Diceros bicornis minor: one gene and its partners. The protein of the gene in region 4 interacts with the protein of the main gene of each other region in a pairwise test. Links are inferred from orthologs where the notes say so. Each region holds a gene or a part of one and is shown on either strand. Other genes may lie near its edges.

The links.
Region 1: the proteins of PITX1 (region 4) and SPAG8 interact in binary tests that used the Homo sapiens proteins (3 or more experiments, as listed by UniProt). The link is inferred for Diceros bicornis minor from reciprocal best matches to the Homo sapiens genes PITX1 and SPAG8.
Region 2: the proteins of PITX1 (region 4) and IPO13 interact in binary tests that used the Homo sapiens proteins (3 or more experiments, as listed by UniProt). The link is inferred for Diceros bicornis minor from reciprocal best matches to the Homo sapiens genes PITX1 and IPO13.
Region 3: the proteins of PITX1 (region 4) and ZBTB32 interact in a two-hybrid assay, tested with the Homo sapiens proteins (2 studies listed by BioGRID). The link is inferred for Diceros bicornis minor from reciprocal best matches to the Homo sapiens genes PITX1 and ZBTB32.

The regions. Positions count from the first base shown.
Region 1 is NC_080767.1:4,230,748-4,238,273, forward strand, and holds the start of SPAG8 (sperm-associated antigen 8), read right to left. Parts: upstream 3,004-7,526; coding exon 2,979-3,003; intron 2,225-2,978; coding exon 1,449-2,224; intron 1,331-1,448; coding exon 1,156-1,330; intron 673-1,155; coding exon 627-672; intron 543-626; coding exon 428-542; intron 306-427; coding exon 243-305; intron 128-242; coding exon 1-127. Other genes in the region: adenosine 5'-monophosphoramidase HINT2, read right to left, coding at 3,163-3,290, 3,386-3,458, 3,564-3,668, 3,766-3,906, 4,889-4,954. UniProt on the Homo sapiens protein: Microtubule inner protein (MIP) part of the dynein-decorated doublet microtubules (DMTs) in cilia axoneme, which is required for motile cilia beating.
Region 2 is NC_080752.1:6,847,594-6,855,215, reverse strand, and holds the start of IPO13 (importin-13), read right to left. Parts: upstream 3,019-7,622; 5' UTR 2,225-3,018; coding exon 2,141-2,224; intron 419-2,140; coding exon 1-418. UniProt on the Homo sapiens protein: Functions in nuclear protein import as nuclear transport receptor. Serves as receptor for nuclear localization signals (NLS) in cargo substrates.
Region 3 is NC_080773.1:8,864,753-8,871,867, reverse strand, and holds the start of ZBTB32 (zinc finger and BTB domain-containing protein 32), read left to right. Parts: upstream 1-4,102; 5' UTR 4,103-4,283; intron 4,284-5,382; 5' UTR 5,383-5,481; coding exon 5,482-6,368; intron 6,369-6,566; coding exon 6,567-6,703; intron 6,704-6,813; coding exon 6,814-6,882; intron 6,883-7,008; coding exon 7,009-7,115. UniProt on the Homo sapiens protein: DNA-binding protein that binds to the to a 5'-TGTACAGTGT-3' core sequence. May function as a transcriptional transactivator and transcriptional repressor. Probably exerts its repressor effect by preventing GATA3 from binding to DNA.
Region 4 is NC_080740.1:54,030,504-54,037,421, reverse strand, and holds the start of PITX1 (pituitary homeobox 1), read left to right. Parts: upstream 1-3,918; 5' UTR 3,919-3,968; coding exon 3,969-4,143; intron 4,144-6,434; coding exon 6,435-6,667; intron 6,668-6,918. UniProt on the Homo sapiens protein: Sequence-specific transcription factor that binds gene promoters and activates their transcription. May play a role in the development of anterior structures, and in particular, the brain and facies and in specifying the identity or structure of hindlimb.

The DNA of each region.
Region 1 (7,526 bases), on a different chromosome or scaffold from region 4:
CTCCCAACTGGTGGGAATAATTCTCAGGTTCATAGGGCAAAGGCTGCCCCAGAGACAAAGGCACTGGTGTTGAGAAGCTGCAGTTCTTCCGGAATGGCATGTCCAGTATCTTGATGTTACTGACACCCTGGAGGAGGGCCAGAATGAGGACAGATCCCATGGCTCGCCGCCAAGCGAGAACAGAACAGCCTCTTCCTTGCCTTCTTTTCCCCCACTCCCAACACCCGATCACCCTCACACACCGGTAGCTGTGGTGCCCTCTGTATCCAGAAGGTTTCAGGCTGCTCCTGACGGTAGTCGTGAGGCTGTGAGGGAGAGATACTGAATAACTCTTGGCCTGAAGCTGCCTCTCTCTGTCTCTGGGCCTGCTGCTTTCCCACAGCCCTTCAGAGCCTAGCTGTACAAGCAGGGTGGGATGGCTTCTCACCTTTGTTGGGGCAGGAGGCCCTACTTGGATCAGCTCCTTTCGGTAGTCATGGTGTGTCACAGACTCAACCTCACAGTTCTTCCTTGTGGGTTCCTGCTCTGCCTGCACCTCTTTACTGTACAGAACTTGGGGGTATGAAGGCCATTCTCCCCTGGTTTTTGTCCTCCTCCTCCCCTTTCCCCTTTCCCCAGCCTCTCACCCGATCTGGTGCCGTAGGAGCATCTCCAGCATGGCTTCACGCTTCCCTGTGGGAGGGCAGGAAATGGACAAGAGTAGGGGAGGCTGGTTAAGAAGCAGGCTCAGGGGCCGGCCCCATGGCTTAGCGGCCCGGGTTGGGATCCTGGACGCGCACCGACGCACCGCTTCTCCGGCCATGCTGAGGCTGCGTCCCACATACAGCAACTAGAAGGATGTGCAACTATGACATACAGCTATCTACTGGAGCTTTGGGGGAAAAAAAAGGGGGGAGGATTAGCAATAGATGTTAGCTCAGAGCCAGTCTTCCTCAGCAAAAAGAGGAGGATTAGCACGGATGTTAGCTCAGGGCTGATCTTCCTCACAAAAAAAAAAAAAAAAGCAGGCTCAGAAGAAAAAAATTTGAGAAAAGGAAGGAAAATCATGGGGTTTTGCCCTTATACCCATCCGACAATCCACAGCCCCACCAGAAATTCCTTCCTTTTATCTCTGACTAATAGACTCATTATGGCCCATTCTCTCATGCTTCACACCTCGAATTGGCTGATGGTGGTTTCCCAGGGACTGGTATGAGTCTTTCTGGGTGGTGGTGAAGGGCATGGGGGACTGTAGCTGCAGGGTCAGTAGTTCCTGGTGTCCACGTCGGAAGAAGAAACTCTCAGAGCCATCCTGCATGCTTGGGACTTGATCCAGGTGGTTGGTGGCTCTCTGTGGGTCCCAAGTTGAGTGACCATGAGATGCCTTCTGGCACCCACCCTCAACATAAACTCCCCCAGGAAACTGGGGGCAGCCTGCAAGCAAAGGGAGCAAATTCAAACCTTAATACCTCCTCTTCCCAGTTGTGGAGAAGGCACTGGCCCCGAGGCAACGTTTCATTGGGGACCTTATGTTTTCCTTCAATCTCAGGGGGCTTCCATAGCCCTCGGGCACCAGGTTCTGAGACTTGCAAACATTTCCAGGGTTCTTGTTTCTGAGGCTCCCAGTGGCTGTGGTGACCCCAGGGAGGGACCAGATCTGCCCTGGGGTTCCTAAAGCTTGGACGAGTGTAGGGGCTGTGCTCAGGGTCATGGCCACAGCCTAGACTAGGCCAAGAGGCAGGACCAGTGCCTCGACCAGAGCCACAGCCAGGGTCAGAGCCACGGCCAGGAACAGAAGTGGAGCCAGGAACAGGGCCAGGGCTAGAGCTAAGATCATTTGTAGTACAGGGATCCTGAGCAATACAGGGAACATAGGCAGGCTCAAAGCCAAGTCTCCCATGGCCTGTCTGGTGGGTAAAGCTGGGTCCAGTGCTGGGCTCCCCAAGAAGACTGTCAGAAAAGGGCTCCATGAGAAGGCTCTGCTCAGAGTAGGGCGCTGGTGTCTTTGCAGATAACACAGCTTCTTTGGCGGTGGAGGCAGCTGCTGTGGTTGTGGCTGCCAGGGCCGACTTAGGACTGCCATCCGAAGAAGGAAACGGTTCCAAAGCGGGCCCTAGTCGTTCGGAGCGGGACTGTGCGTCTACAGATCTGAAAGAAAGCGAATGTGTGCAAGTTGTCAAAAGCGCAGCAGAGGAAGTCCGCCGACCTTCCTTGTCCCCTGATGCCTGCAGCCAGAGCTGCGGCTCTCACCGCGACAGCGACCCCGCGGTACACTCGACTGTCTCCATCTTCAGACACCAGCTACCGGGTTGCCATAGAGATGGCAAACAATTCCAGAGACTGCGCAGAACGAGAGCTGGGCGGACTCGGAGGCAAATTCTCTGCGGGGCGGAAGTCGTAAACCTGGTGCGGTCTGGAAGTCCCGCTTTCCGTCCGGACTCCAATCCGCCTCAGCCCGGCTTTTAAGGTTCCGCTGGCCTATGGCCTCGCCCTCCACACCCAAGCACGGTTCTTGGCGACTTTCTAAAGTGGTTCTTTGTGTTGGAGACAGGCACAGGGCTGTGGCATCAGACAAAAGCCTACTTGGTGTTTGTGTGAGGGCAACAGTAGTTTTCCTTAGTTCATTCTCAAAAGTGGAGGGAGTCTTCTCAAAATTTTTAAGGATGAAAATACGTCAGACAACAGCTTAAAAGCAAAACGGTGAGACATGGGATTAGTAAAAGGGTAGCAGCTTTTTTGGTGTGATTACTTCTCCAATAAAAGACCATCACATTGACCATCCTCCTCCAGACCCCCTTAGAATTTGTCTTGGCATCTGAATAAGGGTCAGGATTGCATAATTCTCACTCCTGGGTTTCAGACTCTTCTACACATTCAGGCTTATTCCTACTGCTACTTTTCTAAGAGCTTGTCCCAGGTGGACCACTAGTTATGAGGACTTAAGATCTATATACGCAAACGCTCCTTCAACTACAGGGTAGCCCTCTTTAGTGTCTCACTCAGGCCATAGTCAAGGAGAATCATAGCCTCAAATCAGTTTTCTTTCCCATTTGTGGTATGTCTTCATGTATTTAAAACAGCAATCCAAAACTGAGAAAGAGCAAGTTTATTAGCATCACAGGGTCCCTTTTTCCCCACCCCAACCAAGCATCTGGGCCTGGGGTCCTTCATCAGTTGGTAGCTTCACCCTGGAGGCCACTGGAGCTGTCGGCCCCCAAGTACATGAATGTGCAGGTGATACACAGATTGTGCACCCAGCTTCCCATCGTTGATCACTGAAATGGAGCTTGGGGTTAGGGGATCATGGGATCCTGGGATCATGGGAAAGGTCAAAGAATGACGATCACATTGAGGGGCAGGTATGAGAATTCATAGGTGAGGGGCTCAAGGGCCAAAAGTCACTCACCAAGTCGGTATCCATCTCCCAGCCCCTCAGCCTTTGCTGTCTCCTTGGCCACAAGGAGAAGGTGTCCTAGAAGCTACAGGCAAAGGGGAGAGAAACAGATGGCTTCATTCTCAAGAAGCAAAACCTCTAGCTAAGTCTAGGGCTCCCCCCAGCCAAAACTTTGCCCTGTTCTTCCCACCTGCTGGTCTCCTTCTTCAGCCAGGCTAATCCGAGGAATGGGCTTCTTAGGAATGACCAGGAAGTGCACAGGAGCCTGAGGGGCCACATCACGGAATACGAGACACTGGGAGCAGTGACAGGCCAGAGGCCACCATGTTACTTCAACAAGCTGGATGGTATCTATGAAATTCCTAAGGGGATGGGTCCTAAGGGCACCCCACCTGCTGGTCCTCATACAGAATGTCAGCTGGGAGGCTTCGATCCAAGATCTGGGAGAAGATGGTTGGGGCTGCTCCCCCAGGAGCTGCCTGCTGGGCCTTGGCCACTTCATTCCCATCAGTCACACCTGCAGCTCCTCGGACCTGAAGGTGGGTCAGACACACCCCAGGGAAGGAGTTGGCAATAGCTCTCCCATGTACTCTCAGGGATCGCAGGTAAAATAAAAATCTGTTCAGGGGAAAGGATCCAGAAAGAGAACCTGGAGATTTAGGTCCCAGTTCCTATTTTACCGTTGAAATATCTTATATAAATCCCTTCTCTCGGCTTCAACTATAAAATAAAGGGGGTGATTTGCATCACCTCTTAAGACCACTTGGAGCTCCTTCCATTTACTCTCACCTTGTTAATAAGTTTCCACTTATTTCCATTACTTGTTTTCTGATCTTTAAGCCGTGTTACTTGTTTTATTCAGGTTTTAATACAATTGCTCTGTTTGACACGAGGGCGTCCGGGTGTCACATTTGACCTCTTACAGTGAATTTTAACTCCAGTCTCTTGAATCAGTGGAGGGAAGATTTAAGTGAACTCAGCAACTCCAGCGCCAGGGGATTGAGAGTAGGGAAGCCCCAGTTTGCCAGGGGCTCAGAGAAGGCTGGTCAGTGCTGCCACACTGAGGGAGACGAGGGTGGGAGGCCCCCTGGAGCCGCTCCGGCGAGTGGGGAAACGAGAGGTTAACACCAGCGCCCCGCGGAGGGCCCGGGCCCAAGGCGGCGGCGGCGGGCTCCGGGAGAGCAAGCACACTCCTGCAGTGGCGCCGCGGGGGCTGGCGGGGCGGGCGCCCGGTCAGCGGGGCTGCACAGGCTGCCGCGCTGACCCCGTCCCGCTCTCGGCGCCCGTTCGCTTCCCCCGCAGCAGGGCTTTCGGAGCGGCTGCCGCGACCACCCATCCGGCCTGCCGCACAGCCCTGGAGCTTGCGCCTCGGCAAGGGCAGCGTCCCTGCCGGGCGCTCGGGCTCCGTCTCCGCGAGGCCGCAGGATGCGCCGTCTGGGCAGCCGGGGAGGAAGGCGGCCCCGGAGGGCGTCGGACCCCGCGGGACCCCTCCTCGCCCCCGCCGCCACTGCTCACCTGCGCGGCCGCCACAGCCTTGCGCGCCCCGCGCAGCCCGGCGGCCAGCACCGCCGCGGCCGCCATCTTCCGTCCACCGCGGGAGCCTCAGCGGCCGGCGGCCGGCCCGAGGCGGGGCCGCGAGAGCGGGCGAGCGCGGCCATTGGCTCCGCAGGCCGGGAGCGCGCTGCCGCCCCACCGGGGGGCGCTCTGGGGTCCGCGCGCCGGCCCTGCGCCCGGACGGTGGCACAGTCCGCTGCGCTGGCGCCCCGCCACCGCAGCGCTAGGATCTTTTCATCCCACTGGCTTCCGACGCCAACTCGAGGGCCCTTCCTCCACTCCGCTGGCTTCGTCCTCTAGTCAGCGTGCAAGTCCCTGTTCCGCGGGATCCCAGAGCTAGTTTCGCTCTGAGGTAATTTCTCACTACAGCGACAAGACCGAAGGACCCAAAGAGGAACGCCCTCCAATTGGCTCTGACTCACAACACCCGCCGCGCCGCGGTTGCGGCTCCTGAGTGGGCGGGGCTTTCTCGTGGCTCCTCCCACTCAGGGCTGGCCCCACCGATGGGTGGGGCGAGGGCGGCTCTGAGACTGCAGACCCTTTCACCGCATTGGGCAGGAGGAGGGCGGGGTTCTGAGGGCTCTCAGCGCTGATTGGCCCAGGAACAACCGCTAACCTGGAGTCCAAGGCCTTAGGAGTACCAGAGGGCAGGGGCGGGTGGAGGACGCGAGACTGCCGCGGCTGGCGGTGAAGTGGAAGGGGGTCTTTTTTTAACTGGTGGGATAGATACCCAGCGTTTTCCCCACAAGGGCAGTTTCAGCCCCTTAAGCATTTCAAAGATTTTAACTTACTCATCTAAGGGCAATTCCTCCATGATTTATGTTCTTGTTAACACATTCACCCCAAGAGGAAAGATTCTGCAGTTTGTTTTCAGGGCGTTTTTTGCGTTTTTCTTTACGAGCCGGGGCGGGAGTGTCCTATCTTTGCCGCACCGACTAATAAGCAAAGGAATGTGTATCCAGCGTTCTTGCCTAATCAGAAAAAGTGTGTGATACGGTCAGGTCTGTGCCTGGCATTTTCAGTGAGTCAGGTTTGAAGGACAAGGTAAATGCGTCATGGCTCTGTCAGAAGTTTACTTAGGTCTGCTGGAATATATATTTTTGACATAAGAAACATAGGGTCATAAAATGCTAATATACTCACACCAGGTAAGTTTTAGTCTGACGTTTAACACACAGGACAAAAGTCACCACTGTATCTTTAGGGTTTTTTTAGCACATGGCCTGACACATATAGGTGCTCAATAATTATTTGTGGAATGAATAACATTTGGTGTTTCATTTCCTTTCATAATATATAATACATATGTGCTGCATATTCTTATTGCACTTACAGTTTTCCATGTTAGTGCATAATCTATGTAAATATACTTTGTAATGGCTGCATAATACTTCCTTGAATGAGTTTATCATAGTAACCATTCCTCTATTGTTGACTATTAATTGAATTAGTTTTAGTGCATGGTCATCGTGGTGCTAATTGCATGTAACCAGGAATGAAGAACTCTTTACTTCCGGAGAGAGGAATGATCCCTTTCGTATAGCCATATTATTATTAGAAAGTCCATTCTCCTCCACAGAGCAGACACTGAACCTGTAATTTTCCCCAGGAATTCCAGCAGTCCAGGTTGCACTCCTTCCCTTCGAAGGATAGACGACCTCCCGAAACATGAGGAAATGTAGACTGGCCTTTTCTCTCTGCCCCAGAGGCTGCAGTTCTCTGCGATGCCCCTGGGACAGCAGCAGCCCCTAGAGCTGCCCCCGAGAAGGGCAAGAGATAGAGGAGCTGTGATCTAGGAAGAGGAAGGAAACCAGCCAGGAGGATTAGGTGAGGACAAGGCACTTTGATTATTTCTTTGGGTTCTCATAGAGAGCAGGTAGCACAGAGATTATTCCTATTTTACAGATCCAGAAACTAAGGCCCAGAGAGGGAAAGTGACTTCCCTAGGATCACAGAGCCCATTAGTGTCAGGATCTCCTACTCCCCATAAGAATCATCTATGGGCTTCCTAGTCACTCACCTACATTCACTGATTTTGGCCCCTGGCCCACAGTCTTCTTTACTCCAAGCCCTTGTGATCACTCACAGCTGCTCTCATCTGAAAGCTGCAGTGCTCTGCAGCTCTGGCCACTGCCTCCTGTGCTTTAGTTCCCGCCACGACATCTGCTACTAGACGTCATTAGAGACTTCTATTCCTTTGACTGCTCCATTTTTCAACTTGTCAGTTGCTTCCTGGCTTCGCTTTCTTTCCCTATTTGTATGGTCAGCTCCCTCCACATCCTCAAGCCTTCTTTTACCTTATTTTCCTGATCATCCTCCCCAACACCCTCCCATCACCACTTAATCTAAGTATTTTGCTTCTCTGCTTCTCTGCGTTCCTGCTTCCAACTGTACCTGAATCCTCCACTACCCACTGATCAGGTTTTTCTCCAGTTCCCCACATTAGTCTTCCCAAACCTTCACCCCTCTCTTCCTGTCTCCTATTCCCCACTCTTATCCCTTTCCTCCCTCACCAGCAACTGACCTTGTCTCCTACTTCACAGGGGAACTTCCACAAGATCCCGCTCCCTGCAGCTCCATAAAGGCCCCATTCTTTCTT
Region 2 (7,622 bases), on a different chromosome or scaffold from region 4:
CTAGCAGGGCCAGGCAGCGGCCCTGGCCATCCACCGGTGAGTCCTCAGCCTGAAAGAGCCGTACCATATCTGCCACGGCACATGGCCAAGCATCAGGCATCATGCTGAGAGCCAGGGAGGCCAGTGCCACGCATAGTCGAGTCAGCACAATCTTGGAGCCACTGGCAAAGCGGGTGATCTGGGTGAAGAGCTGTGCCTTTAGACTTTCATACTGGTCAGTGGGGATGTCACTCCAGTAGCGAGAGATCTTGATGTGCAGGGCGCTGGCCCCAAAGTACTGGATCTCAGGCACCTTGTCATGCTGCAGTAGCTGCCAGCTGAAGTGCCAGGCCTGTGGGGAGACCTGGGCCTGCATCAGCCACTTCTGAGCCAGGTTCTTGTTCTCAATGTTGGGGTCGTAGTAGAGCTGGTGCAGCGCCTGCAAGACAGCACAGGACTGAGCAGGTGCTGGCCACTCTGGATCCTGCCAGAGCCCAGATCAGAGGGCGTGACTTGGTCCTGCAAGACTGCTCTCTCTTTCTGACTGCAGGGCTGAGCAGGAAGGGACAGCTCAGGGCTCTGCAGTGTTTCCTGGGCCTGGGGTCCTGCTGATACCCTGAGAGCCTGAACCTTGCCCATGCCTTATCATAGCCTCTTCCTATGGCAAAACATGGATTCAGACAGTGAACCTCCACGGGAAAGCAGAAAAGGAGGAGGCTGAGCTCTCCCAAAGGGCAGGCACCTGAGGTAAAGGGCAAGGCCCAGGTGGAACGAATGGCTCCATGGGGATGAAGCTAAGCCTGAGAAGAGCACGGAACAGCCTGAGGGGCCCGGACCCTCCCAGGCACAGCTGCTCCCATCAACTCCAACAGCTCCATTCAGCTCCCCCAGGATCATCCCTAGGTCACTCCACATGCTGGCACCAAAGCCAGTGTGAAATCTGAGCAGGACTAAGACTTTGCCAGGCAGCCCTAGGGCAGAGACATACTGCAGGGGAGGGTGAGAACACCCCTCAGGGAGCACACATGAGGGTCCAGAAAGCTGGTCCAGAGAAGGCTTGGCCTACAGCCCTGGCAAATGCCTAGGCTGGAGCTCTAAGCAGCCAAACCCCCTAGGTCCCAATTCCACTGAGACTTCACACAGTAAGAAAACAGTGGTTTATCTCCCTGGTTGCACATGGAACAGTGCACCACCATGCCAACACCGCCCAGCCCCAGGGGATGGAAGGGTGAGGCCAGGACTCTGACCCCTTAAGCAGGCTCCATCCAAGGAGGCCTAGCCCTATCTGTACTTCTGACAGCCAGTTATGGCCACTGTCCCTTCTTTGGCCCCTCAGGGATGCTGAGGCAGGCAGAGAACAGAAGCAGAAGGGATCATCCTCACTACTACAGCAAACAGGGCTCGAGAATAACAAAAGAATATCTACAACCATTCCCTGCATTCTAGCAAGGTAGCCCCATCTCCCCACTCATCCCAGGCCTCTGGGGACAGAACCCAGAGAAGAACCAGAGAAGCAGTTCAAAGAGACGGACTGGGAGGGCCACGGCAGGAAGCTATATGGGCATGTGAATAGGGAAGGACTCTGAGGCTGCCAGCAGGACCAGACCCCTTGGACCCAGCACAAAACAAAGCGGGCCAGCCCTTCTCCTGCCTGCCCAGGACTGGTCTGGTCTCCACCCAATAAAGGAAGGACCCTTCTCCAAGGAAGAGTGAAAACATAACCCAGGTTGTTTTAATTCCAGATTATTTTCTGAGCCTCTGGCTCAACAAAACAGGTCCAGGATGGCTCAGCATCAGTATAGTTCCTGGGCACTGAGCTGCAGGTCTCCTGGGTTCCTGATTTCATACTGCACTGCTCATGCAGTTCCCATGGGGCTGGAGAACAGCCAGTCTGGCTAGAGGTCTAAGCCATCAGCACCCCGCAGCATCCCAAGACCCTAGAGTATCTATCCACAAAGGACTCTAGTCTAAGGAAGGCCAAAAATAGCCCATTAGGACACTGTAACACTGCCATCCTGCCTGCCCAGAGGAACAGCAAATGCCAGGTGCTCTGGGGGCACCATCCCAGCGGGCGCCCAGCCCAGGCCTGGGCTCTGGCATTAGTGTCAATCCCCAGAACTTCTGCTCTGTCACTGGAGTGCCCACCCCAGGGCCCTCATACCTTCTCCACGTTCTCCACAGTGAAGTCCAAGGCTGGTGCTGCTCCAGCCCCTGCAGCCCCCGGCTGCTCCTCCCGCCGCTCCATCTTTGCTCCCTCCTCAGCAGAGAGGTGGACCCTGACCTGTCTCCTGCCCCAGCCCCTCGGCTGCTGGCCCCCTGCTAGACCCCGGCTCGGGTGCCCAGGGAGTGGCGGGGTGACAGGGGGCCCAGGGCCGGCATGGCTGCCGAGGCCTCCCCACCTCGCTTGGGGGTGGGGGGCTTGCCAGAGACCAAAAGTGGTGCTCTTAGGAGGAGACCCAGAGGGGGCCCCGAGGAGGGAGCCGTCAGTGAGGAGTTCCCAGGCGGGGGTCTAGTGGTAGGTCACGGCTCTGTCCCCAGAATCTGTGAGGAGGGAGTCACAGGGGAGAGAGGCCCGTGGGGGAAACCGAGCTCCGGGCCGGTGAGGGGTGACAGGGTCGAGGGCCTGTACCCACAACACCCTTATCTGAGTGAGCTCTCGGGTCCCATGAGGAGGTCACGGGGATGGGGGGGTGACGGAGGAGAGAGCCCTTCACGGGTTAAGGAGGAGTCCAGCGAAGCGCGGGGCTGCAGCTTCGCAAGTCTGGGGCGAAGAGTCCGTAGAGTTGAGGGGCTGTGGCAGACCCCCTCCGCTCGGCCTGGCCCGCGCTCTTCTCACAGCCCGCTCCGGCCCCGCTACTGCCGCTGCCTCCGCCCCAGTGACTGACAAGCGAGCCGGCCCGGCCGGGACGAGGCGGGGACCTCAGCGAGGCGCGGGCTGCCCCGAGCGCCTGTCTCTGGCACCGCCGACTCAAGCGCCGTACCCCACCTGCGCCTGCCTTGGCCCGGCACGGCCCGACCCAGCGGAACTGCGCGGAAACTCATTCCGGATCCTGTCCTCGCGCCAGCCCGCGCGCCCCCGAGCAGGCGACGGAGCGGCGCCCCTCTCGAGGTCCCCACCGAGCCAAGGCCCCGCCGCTGTGCACCCTGGGAAATGTAGTCCTTATGGCCCTAGCGGGAGGGCGGCGCCTTGCGGCGGAGGCCTGGAGCAGGTGGGCTGGGATCCGCTGTGCCGGTCAACCCCGGGCCCACCGCGGCTGACGGGCACTCCCAGTCAGACCGGCAGGAGGCGGTGCGGGGCAGCTCCCTAGGAGGATGTGACTCAAGGTGCCAGTGGTTGGAGGTGGGAGCCCAGGCTGGAGAATAAGATGTGTGTGTTGGGGGCTGGGGATCGGGGGACAAGTCACTCTGGTGCTCCACTGCGCGCGCATCCTGGGGCCCAGGAAAGGGGCTGTCTGGGAAGAAGGCATCAGCACGGCCCTGAGAAGAGCAGGGGGGCTTGGCATGCCTCACGAGTTAGAAAAGACGGCTCTCAGGACCACCCAATGAGCAACTGGGAGACCACATACCATGGACAGTGCCCGGAGAATTTCATCAAGTTCTTGGAAGCAACTTGTCTGTATGAGTAATTAGAATAAGACTAGTTCACATCTAAGTGCTAGGAACAGTACTTTGCACACTTTAGGTCCAGTTCTCTCAACGACTCTGAGGTGGGTCTTTTTATTCACCATTTTCAGAGATCAAACCGAAGTTGGGGCAAGTTGAACTTATCTTGTCCCTGGACACACAGCTAGGGTAGCAGAGACCAATCATCCCTACCCCTACCTCTCCACTTGTCCTTTTATTAACTCTCGCCAGCTATCCCAGCAGGGAAAAAAATATCAAAAGGGAAAGGACCTCTGTACTTGTGTTCAGTGGAGGAAGCTGGCATTGGCAATTGCCCCCGAGGCCTGAGAAGGTGGACAAAGGCTTCCCTGAGGAGAAGAAACTTGATCTGAGCTTGAAGAATAGAGATTGGGGAGGAGGGGGCTCAATTAGCTGATAAGCAAAGTCCAGTGGGAATCTAGTCATTCAAATCTTTATCAAGAGTCTTTGAAGTACAGCTAGTAATTTGTGTTCAGTTTAAGGGAATATATGTGGGGTGAGGAAGGGGGAAGGGATGAGTAACAGAGGTGAGGTTGGAAAGACAAGTTGGGAGCGGTAGGCTCTCCAAGGAGTTTGGACTTTATCCTAAGTGCAATATGAAACCATGATGGGGTTTCAAATGGGCAGTGGTGATTGGATTTGCATTGTAGAAAAATCTATCTGTAGTATGTAGGAGAAATTGAAGAAGGAGAGGCAGGGCAAATTTGGAAGGAGGAAACAGGAAGCCAAAATGAACTGACTCCAGGTCTGTGCCTAGGGGTATGAAATGCCCTGGCCCTGATGCCTACTGGAGATGTCACTGTGGAAGGGGGAGGGGAGGGTTGAGAGCACAAATTCTGGACTTAGGCCTGTGTTCAAAACCTTTCTCTGACTCTTTCTGGCCATAAGACCACGAATTCTTCTGAAACTCACTTCAAACAAATAAGAACTGGGGCCTGGCCCGTGGCGTAGTGGTCAAGTGCACGCGCTTCGCTGCTGGTGGCCTGGGTTCGGATCCTGGGCACACCGCTTGTCAGGCCATGCTGTGGCCGCGTCCCATATAAAGTGGAGGAAGTTCCGCACGGATGTTAGCTCAGAGCCGGTCTTCCTCAGCAAAAAGAGGAGGATTGGCATAGATGTTAGCTCAGGGCTGATCTTCCTCATACACACACACACACACACACAAATGAGAACAGTAATTCTTCCAGCAAAGGACAAATTGAGATGGTACATGAATAGGGCTCCACCCAGAGGCCACAACTTGGTCAATGGGAGTTTTCTTCCTGCCTCCAATCCAGGGCTTCTTCTTGAGCCTGGGGGTTCCCCTGCCAGAGGAAGAAGCCAAGTCTCACCAACAATGCTCCTGAACATGCTTCACAAACATTACCTGGGACAGATGGGTTGAAGTAGGCCCTGGGGAGGGTTGGGGCATTTCAGGGTGCCAGACCAAAGAAGACTTCCAGGAGATGTGGATGGCAATCCAGGATAGCTTAGAGCCAAGTGGGGAATGAATCTTTGGGAGCTAGTTCCAGACAGGTTCTTCTCTCTGAGGGACAAGAATAGGACATATAGGGGCCAGAACCTGTGACAACCCTGGGAGGGGTCTCCAGATTCAGGAGAGAGCATTCCAAAGCCCAGGAGAGGAGGAGAAGGAGCGTCTGTGGGTCACTTGGAACCACCAGCAGCCTATGTCCTTGACATTAACTTCTCAGTTTGAGGTTTTTCAGCCTTCCAAAAGAGTGTGAATTTGGTCTGCAAAACCAGATGAGGGCCTGCTTGTAGTTGAGAGTTCTCAGGGGAGATTTTCTACTCTTCCACTTAGCACTGAGGTTAAATGCAGGCAAACTTCTTTGGAGTCCTGTGGAGAGAGGTTAGGTAGAGGAGGGGCAGGTTTATTTCCAGTTCACCCTTAAGTGTGGGCATAGCCCTTTGGGATTCTGGCCTGATGGAGAAGTTTCTGAGTAGACTTTCTACCATAAGCTCAGGGAACCAGTGTTCAGGTTCATCGAGTAAGGAAACTGCTCTCAAGGTGAAAGCCAACTACAGAGCGTTGCTTACCTTTTAGCTTCCTGCCTTCACTTATATTTTTGGGATGAATATTTCTTGCGTTTGCCAGCTCATAGATGCATTTAATTTTTTTTTCTGTAAATTTTCTTTTTTATTTATTTAATTTTTTTTTTTTTTTTTTTGTGAGGAGATCAGCCCTGAGCTAACATCCGCCAATCCTCCTCTTTTTTTGCTGAGGAAGATGGCCCTGGGCTAACATCGGTGCCTATCTTCCTCCACTTTATATGGGACGCCGCCACAGCATGGCTTACCAAGCAGTACTTCGGTGCGCGCCCGGGATCCGAACCAGCGAACCCCGGGCCGCCGCAGCGGAGCGCGCGCACTTAACCGCTTGCGCCACCAGGCCGGCCCCTTTATTTATTTAATTTTTTAATTTTTTCTTTATTGTGAAATTTTTGTTGTACACCATTGTTTGTCAGTCACCATATAAATGCATCCCTTCACCCTTGTGCCCACCCCCCACCTTGCCCCTGGTAACCACCAAACAGTTCTCTCTGTCCCTGTGTTGGTTTATCTTCCACTTGTGAGTGAAATCATGTGGTGTTTGTCTTTCTCATTCTGGCTTATTTCACTTAACATAATACCCTCCAGGTCCATCCATGTTTTTGCAAATGGGATGATTTTGTCTTTTTTATGGTTGAGTAGTATTCCATTGTGGACATATACCTCATGTTCTTGATCCAGTCATCAGTCGAGGGAGACTGGGGTTGCTTCCATGTCTTGGCTATAGTGAATAATGCTGCGATGAACATAGGGGTGCATAAGCCTCTTTGGATTGTTGATTTCAGGTTCGTTGGGTAGATACCCAGTAGTGGGATAGCTGGATCATAAGGTATTTCTATTTTTAATTTTTTGAGGAATCTCTGTACTGTTTTCCATAGAGGCTGTGCCAGTTTGCATTCCCACCAGCAGTGAATGAGGGTTCCCTTTTCTCCACAGCCTCTCCAGCATTTGTTGTTTTTTTAAAATATATATTTAAAAAAATATTTATATATTTAAAAAATATATGTTTTTTAAAATATATATTTTGTTTAATATTTTTAGTTGTTTTCAGCAAGAAGGCAGCCCGAGTCCTTAGGCCACCACGCTGTAAGAAACCCAAGGGCAGTTCCAGTCCTCAGCAACCTGATTCTTCTGCTGCAGTTGGCCATGCTGACCACTCCCCCCCTTGTCCTGTTTTGGTTTTCTCTGCCACTCTCACCACTCCCTTTTGGTCTCCTTCACAGGCTGGTCCCTCTTCCTCTCCCCGTTCCTTAAATGTTGGTTCTGCTGCCTTAGCCTCTGCTTCTCCTCTTCCCCCTCAGTATCTCGCCACTCCCTTGGCTTTGAGCTGTGACTCCCCAATCTCTCTGGCCCAGACTCTCCTGAGTTCCAGACCCTCAGAGCCAGCAGTTGCCGGGTGCTTGCCCTCTCAAGATGTCATAGGCACCTCAAGGGGAACACATCTAAAACTGAACTCATGACCTCCCCCACACCTTACCCCCCTCACACGCTGAAAATACTACATCCCCTATGTTCCCTACCAGTCTTCCAAGCCAGACACCTGGAAACTCTCCCTTTCATCGAGCCGTCACAACCAGTTCCTCACCAAGTCCCGCTTGTTGTTCCTCACTTCTTTGCTCCCACACTGCTTCTGCCCTAGGTCAAGGTGCCGGCACTTGCCTGAACAGCTCTGACTGCCTTTCTCCTTTGAGTCCATCTAGATACAGCAGCCCGTGATCCATCAGAAGCACATCTCTAGCGAATCCCACTTCAAACCCTTCAGTGGCTCCCCCTCAGGACAAAGTCCGAGCTTCTTGGGATGGCATTCAAGGCCCTTTATGATCTCTCCAGCCTTTTGTCTTGATGAGGACCCTCCCCCAATTCTATATGAAATTGCTGGCTATCCTGGGAACACACCAGGCTGTTCCCACTTCCCTGCCTTTGTTCATGCAACTGCCTTCGCTGAGAAGGCT
Region 3 (7,115 bases), on a different chromosome or scaffold from region 4:
GAGATATCTGCTCTTTAGGAAATCACCCAGGTTGACTTTACCGAAGATCTTTTTATATTCACGGGCCAGGGTGTGGATGTCTAATTTCACTCAGCTTTTCAAGCTCTACATGGTATTAAAGCTTTCGGAGTGCTTTTACATACACCCAGAGTTCTTAAACCAGGGGTGGGGGATGCAAGAGGATGGTCTATGAGTGGATTTCAAGGGTCTGTGAGCTCCTGGAAATCATATGAAAAACTGCATGCATGTTGGATTTTTTGGGGAATAGGGGGCAAAATTGGTCACACAGATAAGTGAGAAGGAGTATTTAACCTGTCCAAGGATGGGCTTCAGCGCAGTCTGTGAATGCCTTGTTATTCATATGCAAAATGGTACAAGAGTCGACAATTTTCTGATGTAAAGAGTTGATTCCATGGCTTACATTTTCAAAGGGATAGTGACCCCCTAATAGGTTAAGAATCATTGGAATAAAGCAGGCTCCGTGTTATTTATGGGGCTAGGGAAGACTATAAATAGAGATTCCCGTTTCTTCCCACACCTGGTGTTGGCGCACACTTCAAGGTGGCTCACATACTAGCCTGCAGGTCTAAGCTCAGTCTCCATGCCCCTCACATACAGTACCTCAGGCACACAGTCCACTCTCGTGAGTATAGACCAGGACCCTGGTAGGCCCTGGAAGTGGGCCATTTGGGCCAGGAGGTCCAGGGTTCCGAGTACCCAGAGCATGGTCTAGAACTGGGGGGCACAGGTTCCAGGTGAGCACTTCCTGGATGCCCTTGGACTTCTTAGCCAGAAGACATCAGAGTGGGGCCCTCTGCCTGGGTTTAAGGCAGTGCTGCTATTCAGTACTGTTCTTGAAAACAGCCCCTGTGAGGAAGTTGAGGGTCTTGGAAGAGTTAGCTCCATATTAGGGCTGAAGAAAAAGGCCATCCACTGTGAGGATGCAGTGGAACCTAAGTTTTTTGACTTCTAGTCTAGTTCTTTTTCCACTTAATCCACAAAAGGTGTGCTATTATAGGGTCTCTATAAACCTACATTCAGCTCACTTGGCTATGACTATATCTGGTTCTTGGGTTACACAGAACAGATTTAAGGGAAGAAGGAAACGAATTCACTCTGTGGTGTCTCTTCTCTGCTATGTGTTGGATGTAATTAACTAGAAAGAGTGAACATTTGAAAGTTTATGTAAGTTTGGATAATTGGTCTTTATATAAAATGCTGTAGGGGGCTTAAGCATCTTAATTTGTGAAAGAGATGTGTTCCTGGGAAGAGTGGAATGTTCCTAGAATTGTTCTAAATTGGATCTTGTTTAAACTTGGCTTTGGGGGTACTCAACATTTAAAATAAGTGAGATAGAGGGAACATTCTTCATAAAACAAATAATCATCCCTCTAATTGGCCTATTCTGATGGTTTAATTTTAATGATAATATTTAAAGGGAATCCATGCTTGTATTGCTGTGTTGATATTTTTACATCAAGCTGGGTTGTGCTTTAAGGAGCTTATAAGGCGCTTATGGTCAAGCCTATCAGTAAGAATAAAAAATATCAGATTTCAAGCTTTGCTTAGTAGTATGAGTATCAGAAAGAACTGAGAGGCAAAAATCATACCTCCTTTTCCCACATACTTCTCTTCCAATTATGTGCTACCTATTCTCTCCCACCCACTCTACCCTCTCCCAGGATGCAGGCTGTGTCCTCATAATCTGCGGTTTCCTGGCCCCACCCCAGGGAGACAGCTGCAGGTGATTCCCACTAAGTCAGCCTGGGAAGTAGAAGGTGGACAAGGTTTCTGAGACTGGGGAGGGGAGACCTTTCAAGAACAGAGACAGTCATGAGCCAGCCCTGATGGCCTAGCAGTTAAAGTTCCGCGTGCTCTGCTTAGGTGGCCCGAGTTCGGTTCCCGGGTGCTGAACCACACCACTCATCTGTCAGTAACCATGCTGTGGTGGCGGCTCACATAGAAGAACCAGAAGAACTTACAAGTATACACAACTATGTACTGGGGCTTTAGGGGGGAGAAAAAAGGAGGAAGATTGGCAACAGATGTTAGCAAAGGGTGAATATCACCCCCCCCCAAAAAAAGAATAGAAACAGTCAGCAGTGTCCCTATCTTTCCAAGTCAAAGTGCTATTTGCTTCTGCTTCTGCTGTGACTGCTCAGTGCAAGATGGCTTGGGCTATGCAGTCAAAAATGTAGGGAGAGAGAAGGGCCTAGAGTGTCATCAGCCCAAGGGCTGAGGTGTAGAGGCCCTAGAGATACCTCTATGGAGGCAGTCTCTAAAGGGATATCCTTAGACGGGGTAAACACCAAGTGGGAGGCAAGATGGGGTTTCCCATTCTTGGGGGCTTTTGTTCACTGAATGGGGAGTCCCCTTGCCCCTTCTCCTCCCTTTTAGGTTTCCTGAAAGCCCACTGACACTCTCTGTCAACTACATTTGGTTTACAGAGGATGCTGCCCTTTGAGCAGTCTCCAGTTCTCTTGATCAATGAGCAAACCACACCAGTGGGGGAGCTGAGTCACAGGCACATGATATAGGGCTGGGAGGTGAGGGGGACTACACTCCACTGGGTGATGATGTAATCTTCCAGACCCCTGTACCTTTTCTTCTATACTTGAGGTATCTCCCTCTTGGCTTTCCCCACTTCTTCCATATCTTCAAGGATTGTGTATTTCTGTGTTGGAGGAAGGATGTTTCCCTCTGTATACATACATATCAGGGATTGGTGCTTTTATGTGTCCAGGCCAAGTATCTTTTATATGGGTGTCTAATGAGTCCCTGGGTGTGGTGGTGTGAGGAATTAGAAAGCTCAGAAATGGAAAATATTTAACGTTCAGAGAAGCAAATGATTAAAGCTTGCCCATTTGCATTTTCCCTTTCACTCTGACTCATCTTCCCCTCTCCCCACCCTATTATTGCCCCTCCACCAGCCCCACCCATTGGCACACCCTGTCTGATCTAGGAAGGGTTAACTTCTGCCTGCACCCAAGCTAGAATGAGAGGTAGAGGGAAGGCATGTTAGGTCTGGAGGGAGAGAGTAGAAGGCTGGTCTGAACATTTTGGGGTCCTGGAGCCAAAGGGAGAAGCAGGAGTTTAGAGACATAATATTTGAGTCTAGGAGGGGACCAGAATCTAAGGGAGAAGCCTAGGGGGAGCCAGACCATGTCTCGTCATCAGAGCAGCCTACCCGTGCCTGACTTGTATATCTTCCAGTTATTTATTTGGCATATATGACATGCCAGGCACTTATCATGAGTGATTTATCAACACTTGTTGAATGAATGAAAAATTTGCCACAGGATGAGGGATAATGGAATAACAAGAAACAGAAAAAGAAATTTGAGTCTCTCAGACCTCATCCTTTCCCCAGGTTAAAGAGTGGTAAAGTGTGAAAAGAGGGGAAATCTCCAAGGACCTTGACCCCTTGGGCAGGAAGTGAAAGAAACCCTGGAGTCCTGATTTCAGAGAAATGTCATTTGTCATCAACTCAAGAAAAGGAGTTTTTCTCTTCGAAGACCACCGCAAGCCCTTCCTGGGGTTGCCCCCTTCAGCGCTTGATGGGAGGATCTGAGTCACTCACACATGCAGTCCCCAATGGTGGCCCAGATGACAGGGGTCATTCCCACATAGCTGTCAAGGCTTGGTAGTACTAAGTCAGGCATGCTTTCGGCCCTCCTTCACTCTCTTCTTGGAATCTAGATGCTTCAGTCCTTTTTACTTCTCAGGTAGTAGAAACAGCTTCCAGCTGCTAGAGCTCTAATGACACCTCTAAGAAACAGAACTAATACTATTTGAATGACGCTGTGTACTGATAAACCACTTTCACATTCATCATGTCATTTCATCCTCACTTCCACCTCCAAGTGAGGTAAGCAGAGGTTATCCCTATTTCATGGACGAGGTAACGGAGGCTCAGAGAGGTGACTTGCCCAAGGTGATTCAGCTAGAAAATGGTCGAGATGAAACTCAAGTGAGGTCTGATTAGTCCAAAGTTCTTGTTGCCTCAGTTACACTTCTTTGACTGGAGAAGTTCACAAATGAAATAAAGACAGGTCAGGAGGCAATGCCTGGATTCTGGAAGTAGAGGGGGTGGTCTCTCCTGGAGGGGTGAAGCAGAGCCGGGAGTATAAAACCACACCCCCTTGGGGGACTGTGGCAGACTGATACTTGGGACACCCAATGGAAGACTGTGAGGTCAGAGGCGGGGCTAGCTCCAGCGGGGGGGCCCCAGGAGCCCCAACAGCAGTTCAGAGCATGCGGTGTCCAGGAGGAAGCTACAACCGGTGAGTGGTTGCTTCTCCCCAGCTGAGACTTTCCTCCCTTACCCCCCTTTCTGTCCACTTCCTGCCAACCTGTAGCCCTCTTCCTGAGGTGTCCAAGTAGTAATCCTCCCTCCCAGAAGCGTCCTTACTCACAGTGCACCCACACCTAGGAATATGCCTGCTGGGCACAGAGACACTTGGGTCTGTCTCTTGGTAACTGGGTTCCCAGTTCTCTTCTTAAAAGCCAATGTGGTGGTTTTGATGTGTGATAAACTTCTGCCTCGTTAGCTGCTGTCTTTCTATTCTTCACTTTTGGCTCATGAAAAACAAAATTAAACCATCTCCTTATCCTAATATTGAGAGGAAATAGCCTCCTGCTCTACAGTTCCCATGTCCCTTTCTCCTGCTTCCTTGGCAGTCAAAGTCTTCTCCAAAACTTCTCTCCATCCTTAGGTCGGGAGCCTTCTCTCCTGTGGCTTCTGCACCTGCTCTCTTAACTCACTGGATGGGAGTCTTTGGTCTCTTCCAGCTCCTTCTCTGAGAATGTGTTCTAGAAGCTTCAGCCTCAGGGAGATGATCGATTGATGCCTTAGAGCCTGCCCTCCTGCAACTACGACCCTGTCTTGCTGCCCTTTCTGCCTCTCAGGACCCTCAGCTCCACGTGATGGGCTTGTGGGAAGAGGACACTACTAGCTTTCTAAACTCTCCCATGAAGCTGCGTCTTGCTCCAACCCTAGTTGCCTGGGCTGGGTTTTATGGTGATCTCTGTGTCTGGAATGAAGAAAGCCTGGCCTGCTCAGAGTTTTCCCTGCAGAGGGGCTTGGAGAAGAAGTATCAGCATCTGCTATCCTTTAAGTCAGAGACTGCCAATTGGCAGGACCCATTTATACTAGTCTTAAACCCACTACTTGATATAGTTGTTAACTGCCTTGTCCTTGCTCTTTAAGTCCTGAATTTGGTCTAATTTCCATTCTCCCACCACTCCCACCCCCAACCCTGGCCCCTGTTATGATTCTGGATAAGCTCAGGTCCTCTCTTGGGTTAGTTTATTTGCTCCATTCAGGACAGAGAGCTCTGATCCAGAACCAGCAACTCACTCACTCTCCCCTTCCCTCCACAGGCTTGAGAATATGCTGTTCCTCCCTCTCCTTTCTGCCACAGACCCCACACTGTGGCCTTTCTCTCAGAACCTCTGAGATTGGTACCCAGGCAAGGCACAATGCCCCTGTCCCCAACAAGACTGCCTAGCCCCTATGGCTCTGATCGCCTGGTACGGCTAGCAGCCAGGCTCCGGCCAGCACTATGTGATACCCTGATCACCGTGGGGAGCCAGGAGTTCCCTGCCCACAGCCTGGTGCTGGCAGGTGCAAGCCAGCAGCTGGGCCGCAGGGGCCGCTGGGCTCTGGTGAAAGGCATCAGCCCTTCCACCTTTGCCCAGCTTCTATACTTTGTTTATGGAGAGAGCGTAGAGCTTCAGCCTGGGGAACTGGAACCCCTTGAGGAGGCGGCCAGGGCCTTGGGGGTACAGTCCCTGGAAGAGGCGTGCAGAAGGGTTCGAAGGGACAGGGCTAGAGAAGAGCTGGGTCCGGGACTGAAGGAACATCAGGAGGAGCCAGAGAAACCCACAAAGGGTTCTGAGAGAGGAGTAGGGGCCCTTGGAGAGAAGCAGAGACCAGAGAAATTTGTTAGAGCTGGTGGGCGAGAACAGGAAACACTGCAGAAGCACAGGCCACCAAGAGAGAGCCCTGAGATGGCAGAGGCAACGAGGGAGGGCCAGGGAGTGCAGATGAGATTCAAGGAGAAACTCAACCAATTCCCTGTTGGCCATGGGGGAGTAGATGGGAAGCAAGAAGTGATCATGTGGGTGAGGGAGACTCCAGGGGGCTCTGAGGAAAGTCTGCAGGAGTTCCCTGGCCCCCTTCCCCCACCTGCTTCCCTCCAAACCAGCGTCACCCCTAGGCCCTGGTGGGCTGAGGCCCCTTGGTTAGGGGAGGGGCAGCCTGCCCTATGGAGCATCCTGCTGTTGCCGCCCAGATATGGCACCCCCTTCCCCCATAGCACCCCCATCACTGGAACCTGGCAGGAGGTCTGGCCTCAGGACGAGAGGTGAGTGAAGGGCCTCACGGAAGACCTCCCAAGCTGGGAAGGAGTGGCTCAGGAGAGGCAGCGGTGACGGGTGGAAGGGCACCATATCTCTTATCTCTACTGTACATTTCCTGAGCTGGGGACAGGACAAGAAGCTCCCACCAAAGGGGAAGACAGAGCCCAGTCCCTGAGGAGGACTCATGACACCTCCCTCCCCAGGAAGAGATTGGCCACAATCCCAGATTTTGCCAAGGCTGTAACTCTTCCCCACCCCACCCCCAGGATGCCACTGTCCCTAAACCTCCACAAAGGGCTCTGGAGCCAGAACCAAGTGGCCTCCTCCAGCCCAACCCCAGGTAAGCCCCTCACTGCCCTGCATGAACCCTATAATGTGGTCTCTCCCCTGGGGCTGGGGGTCCAGGAATCCAGCCTGAGCAGGGCCCCTACTTCACTCTGCTCCCTCCAGGTTCCCTCCACCAGGGCCCCGCACAGCTCAGCCCTGTGGAGATGGAAGAGTCTGATCAGAGGCACACAGGTGAGGAGGGTGAGGGAGCTTTTGCCTCAGCCCCAGTGTAGCCCCTGATGGCTTGCCTGGGTGTTGCAGTGAATCCAGCTCTGGGATTCCCAGCCCTGCCCTCTTTTGCTTTCTCCGTCCCCACAGGTGCACTTGCAACTTGTGTGGGTCATATGGGCACTGCAGGCCGCCCATCTTGCCAGCACCCCCCCCTGCCCCCTCCTGCTCGGTCCAGGCCCTATTCTTGTTCTGTC
Region 4 (6,918 bases):
AAACAAGAGTTTTTATTGGGGAGGGGGTGTAGATCGGGCAGAAGGAGGTAGGTGGTCCCAGCCATACTCCCAAAACTGGGTTTTCTAGTTTGAACTTCTCCACGGCCTAAGAGGCTTAGGGCTGGAATGTCCCAGAGAGTCATGGATGGCCCCCGGGGCAAGCCATGGCACATTCCTTCCCTTTCCCTAAAATCCCTTGATTCTGGTGCAAAGATTAGGACAGCGTACCCCCAAGAGTAAGTAGAAGGATGCCCCCCATGAGGACCCTCTAACCACCGTTCCCAAATAAAATTACTAAACCATTCTTGGGTACAGAGTCTGTTTTGAGGGAGCCCAGCCTCAGGAAGGGTCCCTACGGTGACTACTTCAACCCCACAACAGCCCAGGCTCCTCTATTCAGCCCAGCCAGGACTCTAAGCCCCAAATTTCCTGAAAACCACAGACTCATTGCTGGCTTTGTGTGGCCTGGCGGGATGGGAACTAGGGCACATGATTCCAGCTCCAGTAAGCCACCTTCCCTCCTCTCCTCACGTCCCATTGTCAAGGGAGCAGGAGGCTGAAGCAGCGAGCAGAGATTGCTGTGTCCCATGTCAGACATGGGAACTGAGGACCAGTGCAGGTCAAGCCCTGCCCAAGGTCACACAGCAAAGCTGGGGCAACCCTGAACCCCTACTCTTACTCCTGAAAGACAGCTGCCTCCATCCTGTGTGTGTTTGTGTGTGACGTATCTGTGAGTGTGCAAGAAACCCCTACCCTGTCTGGGATAACAGCCAACAGAGGTGTGGCTGGGGGAGAAGAAAGAGGGCACCAGGTCCCTTCTCCAGCCAACGCCCAGGATCAGGCCAGGGCCTCCTCTCGATCAATCCTTCCTCGCCCCCTGCTCATTCAGCGGTGCCCAGGGCCAGTAGAACAGGCTCCCCTGGGCAGTCCCCACTAGTCTCAGCCCTTCTCTGGGGCTCAGAGCCCCTGGGGATACGGAGCTTCACCCGCAATAGTCTGAGGGCCTTTCCATCCACACATCTGGCATCAAGATTTCCAAATATAGGGACTATTGTGACTGCCTGGAGCACTGCCAGAGACTTGGGTCCAGAGGAGCACACAGCAGGTGCTCAATAACTGCATTAAATGTATCAACAGTGAGGGATGCAAGCCCCTCAGAATGAATAGCTAGAGCTACAGAGTCACAAAACAGTCCCCATCCATGGAAGGTCTGACTCTTTAGTCCCTCTAAAGAGTGGAGGGCTGTGACCCTCAGCCTCTGGATGCCCAGGGCAGACCATTCATTCTGTGTCCCCACCCAGAGGGGCACTGTGCTTCCTACCTCGGCCTGGCACTTGGTAGATTTGGAACACACCTCCTATTCCCTACCAGCCAGATTTTGTGCCAAACAGCATCAGCGTTCTGGGACCCAGAGGCCTGGCTGTGTGTATACATATGTGACTGTACTCAGCACTCCCATGTGTGGGTACAGTGAGTACGTGTGTGTGTGTACACAGCACACCTGTGTGGGTATGCAGTACGTATGTGTGCGTGCATGCTCCCGTGGTGCCCTGTCTGTCTGCAGGCAGGCTGGGCGGCATGCTGTCCTGTCAGGGTAAGGCAGCTACACAGAGGCGGTGTGTGAAGGGGCGCTCCCTGGCATGCTGCAGCACCTGCATATCTCCTTGAAAGGAGCCGCTCCAGGAGACAGCCAAGAAATGTGGTCAAAGATGAGGCTGAGGGCAAATGCTGGGCAACCCTACTGCCCCGTGTACCCCTCCCGCCATCTCCACACACAAGACTATTTTCATCCTGGGGGTCTCAATTTAGAGAAACTTCCCTTTGGGAGGAAAGGGCAGGAGTTGCTGAGCCTCCCCAAACTCCTGGGATGCATCCTCCCTCTGGCCTCAGCCTCAGACCCTGCCCGTGGTCACAGGCACTCTTGAGAGTGGGCGAGACCCTAAGGAATTGTGCCTTCTCTCCATGGCCTAGAGCTGGGGACCTTGTGCTGAGCCAAGGGACTGGGAAGCAGGCCTGGTTCCACCTTGCGCCCGCCCCTGCCCCTGCGATCCCCAGCAAGAAGCTGAGCCTGGGGCCTGGGTCCCTCCCTCTGATGGGGAGCCAGGGTGAGGGCTCAAAGGCAGTGCCTGCAGAGCATCGCAGATGCTGACAGCCGCCGGCAGGGTTAGTCCAGAGCAGAGATCTCCAGGAGGGATGAGGATGCACTGGGCCCTGGCTGAGGCACTGGGCCTAGAGAGTAGGGCAGTGCTTCCACCCGAGACTGTTGTCCTGCCCAGCACTGCTCCTGTCTGGTGGAGCTGGTCAGCAGGTGAGGAGCAGAGGGCAGCCTGGGGTCCAGCTATGGTCAGAGGAACAGGTCAGGGCCGCACCCTACTACCCCAGCTGTCACCTATTTGCTCGAGACTCTGAGGTCTCAGGGCCAGTTAACAATTGTTGAGCAAAATCCTTCAACAAACTTCACTGAAGTAGGAGGATTCAAGGAGGGGATCATTCTTAGTGGTGGGGAGGGGACCGTCATTGCCTGTGCCGGTGGAGGGCCCACTGTGCTGCAGCTTAGCTACCACTGTATGAGAGAGAAGCTCCAAGACCATAGGCTTCCTGGGCTGCAGGCCCACGGTTGGGAAACTGCAGTCACCTGGCCTGCCAGGCCTATGCCTACAGCTTGGGAAGCCAAACAGAGTCCCCAGCGGCTGCAAACCTGCCCTGAAGGGGGCAGAGGCCCACCCTGTGGCTGCCAGGGCCTGCCTGAGATTGGGCCTGACCACTGAAGGTGCAAAACAAGGGGAGAGAGCCCTACAAAAGAGGCTGTGGGGCCTGGCTGGGCTCTTGGGGTCTCCTGCTGCACTCGCCAGCGGCCTGGAGCCAACAGAAACGTTTCGTCTGATTAGAAGCCATCAGTTCTATCCCAATCCCGGAAAATTGACTGTGGTGCTGAGGGGAGGCCTGAGAAGCAGCCTTGGGGGAGAGGGTCCAAGCTAATTAGGAGGCAGCATCCGGGGGCCCATTAGAGCGCAGGCTGCTGTCACTCAGCCGGGCTCAGGTCCCGGGAGAAGAGGCCGAGGAAGGAGGGGCCTGCGGCCCCTCGACGAGGACTCGGCTGGGAGCCGCCAGAACGGGCCCCGGGCTCTGCCCCCGCCCTGGCGCTGGCTCGGAGGCGCCCGCTCGGTGCGATCCTGCTCGGTGAACGTTCACTCATCCTGGGCTGTTCTCACCGGGGACTGGGGACTTCGAGGCGGCCCAGACAGGAGTTGATTCTGAGCGAAACAAGTCATTTGGGGCTTGAGGTGGGCACGAGCCGCGCGGGACTTGCAGGCCAGATGCGTTTCTTTTGTGCCGTGGAGGGAGAACTCGGTGTGTCACCGGGAAAGGAGGGAGAGGCGCGGCGAGGCCGCGGGGGGGCGGGGAGGCGGCGGGAAGGTGGCTGCGGAGGGGGAGGGCGCGGGCGAGGCAATGAGGGAGGGAGGGCGGCAAAGAGGGCGCGGCGGCGCGGGCGGCTCGGGACTGGATTCCGCCCGCGCTCCCTCGCTCGCTCGCTCCCTCCTCCCCAGCCCCCTCCCACCCAGGCCCACCCCACTCACCACCCCTGGCGCGGGGATTGCTGGAACCTGGCGGTGCGCGCTGTCGCTTTAAGACAGACTCTGCTGGCGCCGTCCGGAGCCTTAGAAACCGGCCCCGAATCGGGAACCGGAGCCGGAGCCGGGGCCGGGCGGGCGGCTGAGGCCCGAGCGGCGCAGCGCAGCGCGGAGCGCGAAGCCGGGCGCCCGGTCGCGAGAAACCGCTGCCGCTGCCGCCCGCCTGGCCCCGCAGCCCCGGGCGGTCCATGGGGCCGGCGCGGCGTCTTTGCGGCCGCGGGCAGCCCTGGGGGGCAGCCGCTTAGGCGCTGCGCTCTTGTGTCCGCAGGTCGCAGCCAGGGCGGCCGGGTGCGCCCAGCCCCGGCCCCTGGAGCGCCCGCCGCGGTCCGCGCCTCCATGGACGCCTTCAAGGGGGGCATGAGCCTGGAGCGGCTGCCGGAGGGGCTCCGGCCGCCGCCGCCGCCGCCACCGCCGCACGACATGGGGCCGGCCTTCCACCTGGCCCGCGCCACCGACCCCCGCGAGCCACTCGAGAACTCCGCCAGCGAGTCGTCGGACACGGAGCTGCCAGGTAAGCGAGGCTCCCCGCGAGGCGCGCACAGAGCCTGCCCGGGCGCAGGGCGCGGGGAGCCGGGAGCAAGGCCTGGCTCCCCGCGCCGCACAATCAGGCTCCCCCTACGCCCCAGGAGCCTCAGGACCTTTCCTTTTCTCATTTTCGATCCGACGCTAAACGCGGAAATTTACACGCTTTAAGAAGCGGAAATTTAGTGCTTTACGAAGGCACTTCCACTTGGTCCCCACGCACCGAGACCGGCAGAGGCACGAACCTACAACCAGAGGGTCGGACTGACAGTCCCTCTTGATCAGGAGCAAATAGAACAGGGAAAAAAAAAGTTAGGTTTGCGCAATTGGGTGCCGAGGGGCCGCTCAGACCGAAGGATAGGAGAAGTTCGAGAAGGTAATGGAATGGCAGGCGAGAGAAAGTGCCCAGAGAGACAGAGAGGGGACAGACACCCCGACAGATAGTGGGCGACAGATTGAGGGGAGAGACCGAAGAGCAGGGGTGGCTGGAAAAGTCAGAAAAGCAAACTGGGGGGAAGAAAAACCACCTCAAGTATAAGGAAGCCTGAGACAGGACCAAGGGGCGCGGCCCTGCTCTGGGCAGGACCCCCTAACCGAGGGCTCCCGGCCCCACGTGCGCCGCCGAAGCCCGGAGCCTCCAGGCCGCCCAGCCAGGGCCCCGACTCGGGTCGGGCACGTCTCCCTCCGCGCTGCCTTTTTATGCGAGCTTTTTCCCCCGGTCGCGAGCTGGGCCAGCGGGTGGGCGGCGCGGGCAGTGGGGCCGCTAATCCCCGGCCCGGCCTCCCCGGTCTCCGAACCGCTCCCGCGCTCGCCGTCCTAACTCGGCGTAGCCGCCGACCTCCCCACTCCCCGGGCCGTGGGCGCCTCTTCTGCCTTCATTTCTTAATCCACCACTGAGTGCTTCTCTACGCGTTTTTAATCTCTATTTGTTTCTGTTTTGCATCCCTAAGTGACTTTCTCTAAGAGGTTCTGTTTGCTTGGTTAAAAAACAATCGACGCTGGACTGTACTTTTGTTTTCATAAGTTTTAAGCGAGGCCTTTGGTTGGTTTTTATTTTTAAAACCTAGAGAAATATATCGAGATTTCTTCTTAAAACCAAACCTATGAGGATAAATTTAAAATTTTAACTGTATTTTTCGATATAGAAAGAATTACTATACCAGGTATATTTCTCTGGAATTTAAAATATCTACGTGCAACATTATTCTTCGGGAGATTTTTACAAGTCAATCCAAAATGGCGCGTTTCTCCGGGATTTTCTCAAAATCCATTTATAGCCGTGTTATTTTGGGAGTTTATCTAACTATAGTGTTGTATTTCCCTATATTTAAAAATTATCTCTAAAAGGGCGTTATTGGGAAAGGGTTAAAAAAATCTATCCACAACAGTACATTGATTTTTTTTTAATCCCAGAGAAATAAATGCCTGTGTCTGCCTGAAGTTTATGCACGTACAGCACCGTAGTACAGCACCGTAGTTAGCTGTGTGTTTGTACGGTTTCTGGCTTCTTAATTTGCATTTGCTCTGTGTTCCTACCTGCCTATTTTTAAGAGTTTGTGACCATTCCTGTGCTTTTAGGCATAGAGCTCTGGGCTTCTCTGGGCTTCTGTGTTTTGATTTTAAATTCTTTTTCTTTATGTTTCAATGTTTCTATGACTGGGTATGCTTTGTGTAGCTTCAAAGAGAGAGAGGCTAGAATCCCAGGTCACCTAGACAGAGTCTGTAGGTCTGGGCTGCCGCCGGAGGGATTTTCTAGGCCTTGGGACTTGAGGCCTGGAGCAAAGGCAGAGAAGCCGGCTGCGCCATGGCAGCCCAGTGGGGCTCCCACACAGCCCTGGGGAGTAGAGAGAGGAGGGGCTGCAGGTCACTGCCTGGCTCTTGCTCCACCGACCTGCTAGCTTCAGGCTAGAAAGAGCTAATCCTAGTTCAGAAAAGCAGAGATCGCCTTAGATTTAGACCCCCAAGAGCCCGCAAAAAATCGTACATTTGCGGGTGACCTCAGCAGTAGGGCTCGGGCCTGAGCGGAGCTGCGAGAGCAGGCCCTGCCCAGCCGGGAACCTAGGCCCGCGGCTCCGGCTGCTGGGCTCGTCTCTGGAGCACCCCTGACCAAAGGTGACCACTGACGACCAGGCACTCGGCAGGCTCTTTCCAGTGGGGACAATTCCAGGGCCCCTGGCGGGAGGGCCGCCAGCGCCGATGGCCGGCGCTTCGGTGGAGCCGGGACGGGGTGCAAAAGGGCATAAGCCCGACGTGACCGGCTCCCCGTCCTGCCTGCTTCAGAGAAGGAGCGCAGCGGGGAACCCAAGGGGCCCGAGGACAGCGGTGCGGGCGGCGCGGGCTGCGGTGGTGCGGAGGACCCTGCCAAGAAGAAGAAGCAGCGGCGGCAACGCACGCACTTCACAAGCCAGCAGTTGCAAGAGCTGGAGGCCACGTTCCAGAGGAACCGCTACCCCGACATGAGCATGAGGGAGGAGATCGCCGTGTGGACCAACCTCACCGAGCCTCGCGTGAGGGTGAGCGCGGGGCGCGCGCCTAAGGGGAGCCGCGCACAGGGCTACCGGCTGCCTCTGCCGCAGCCCTCCAAAGCTTAGACCTGAGCTCAGACTTTCACACTTTGTCACCACTCAGACCTTCTCCCTCCCTCCACCGGAGGAGATTCCACCTTAGGTCCCGGGCCACTCGGCTGCGGCTAAACCCTTTGGCCGCTAGCGTCCCTCGGCTGCTGCCACCTCGGATCCCTCTGACCCGCATCCTACCTGATTGT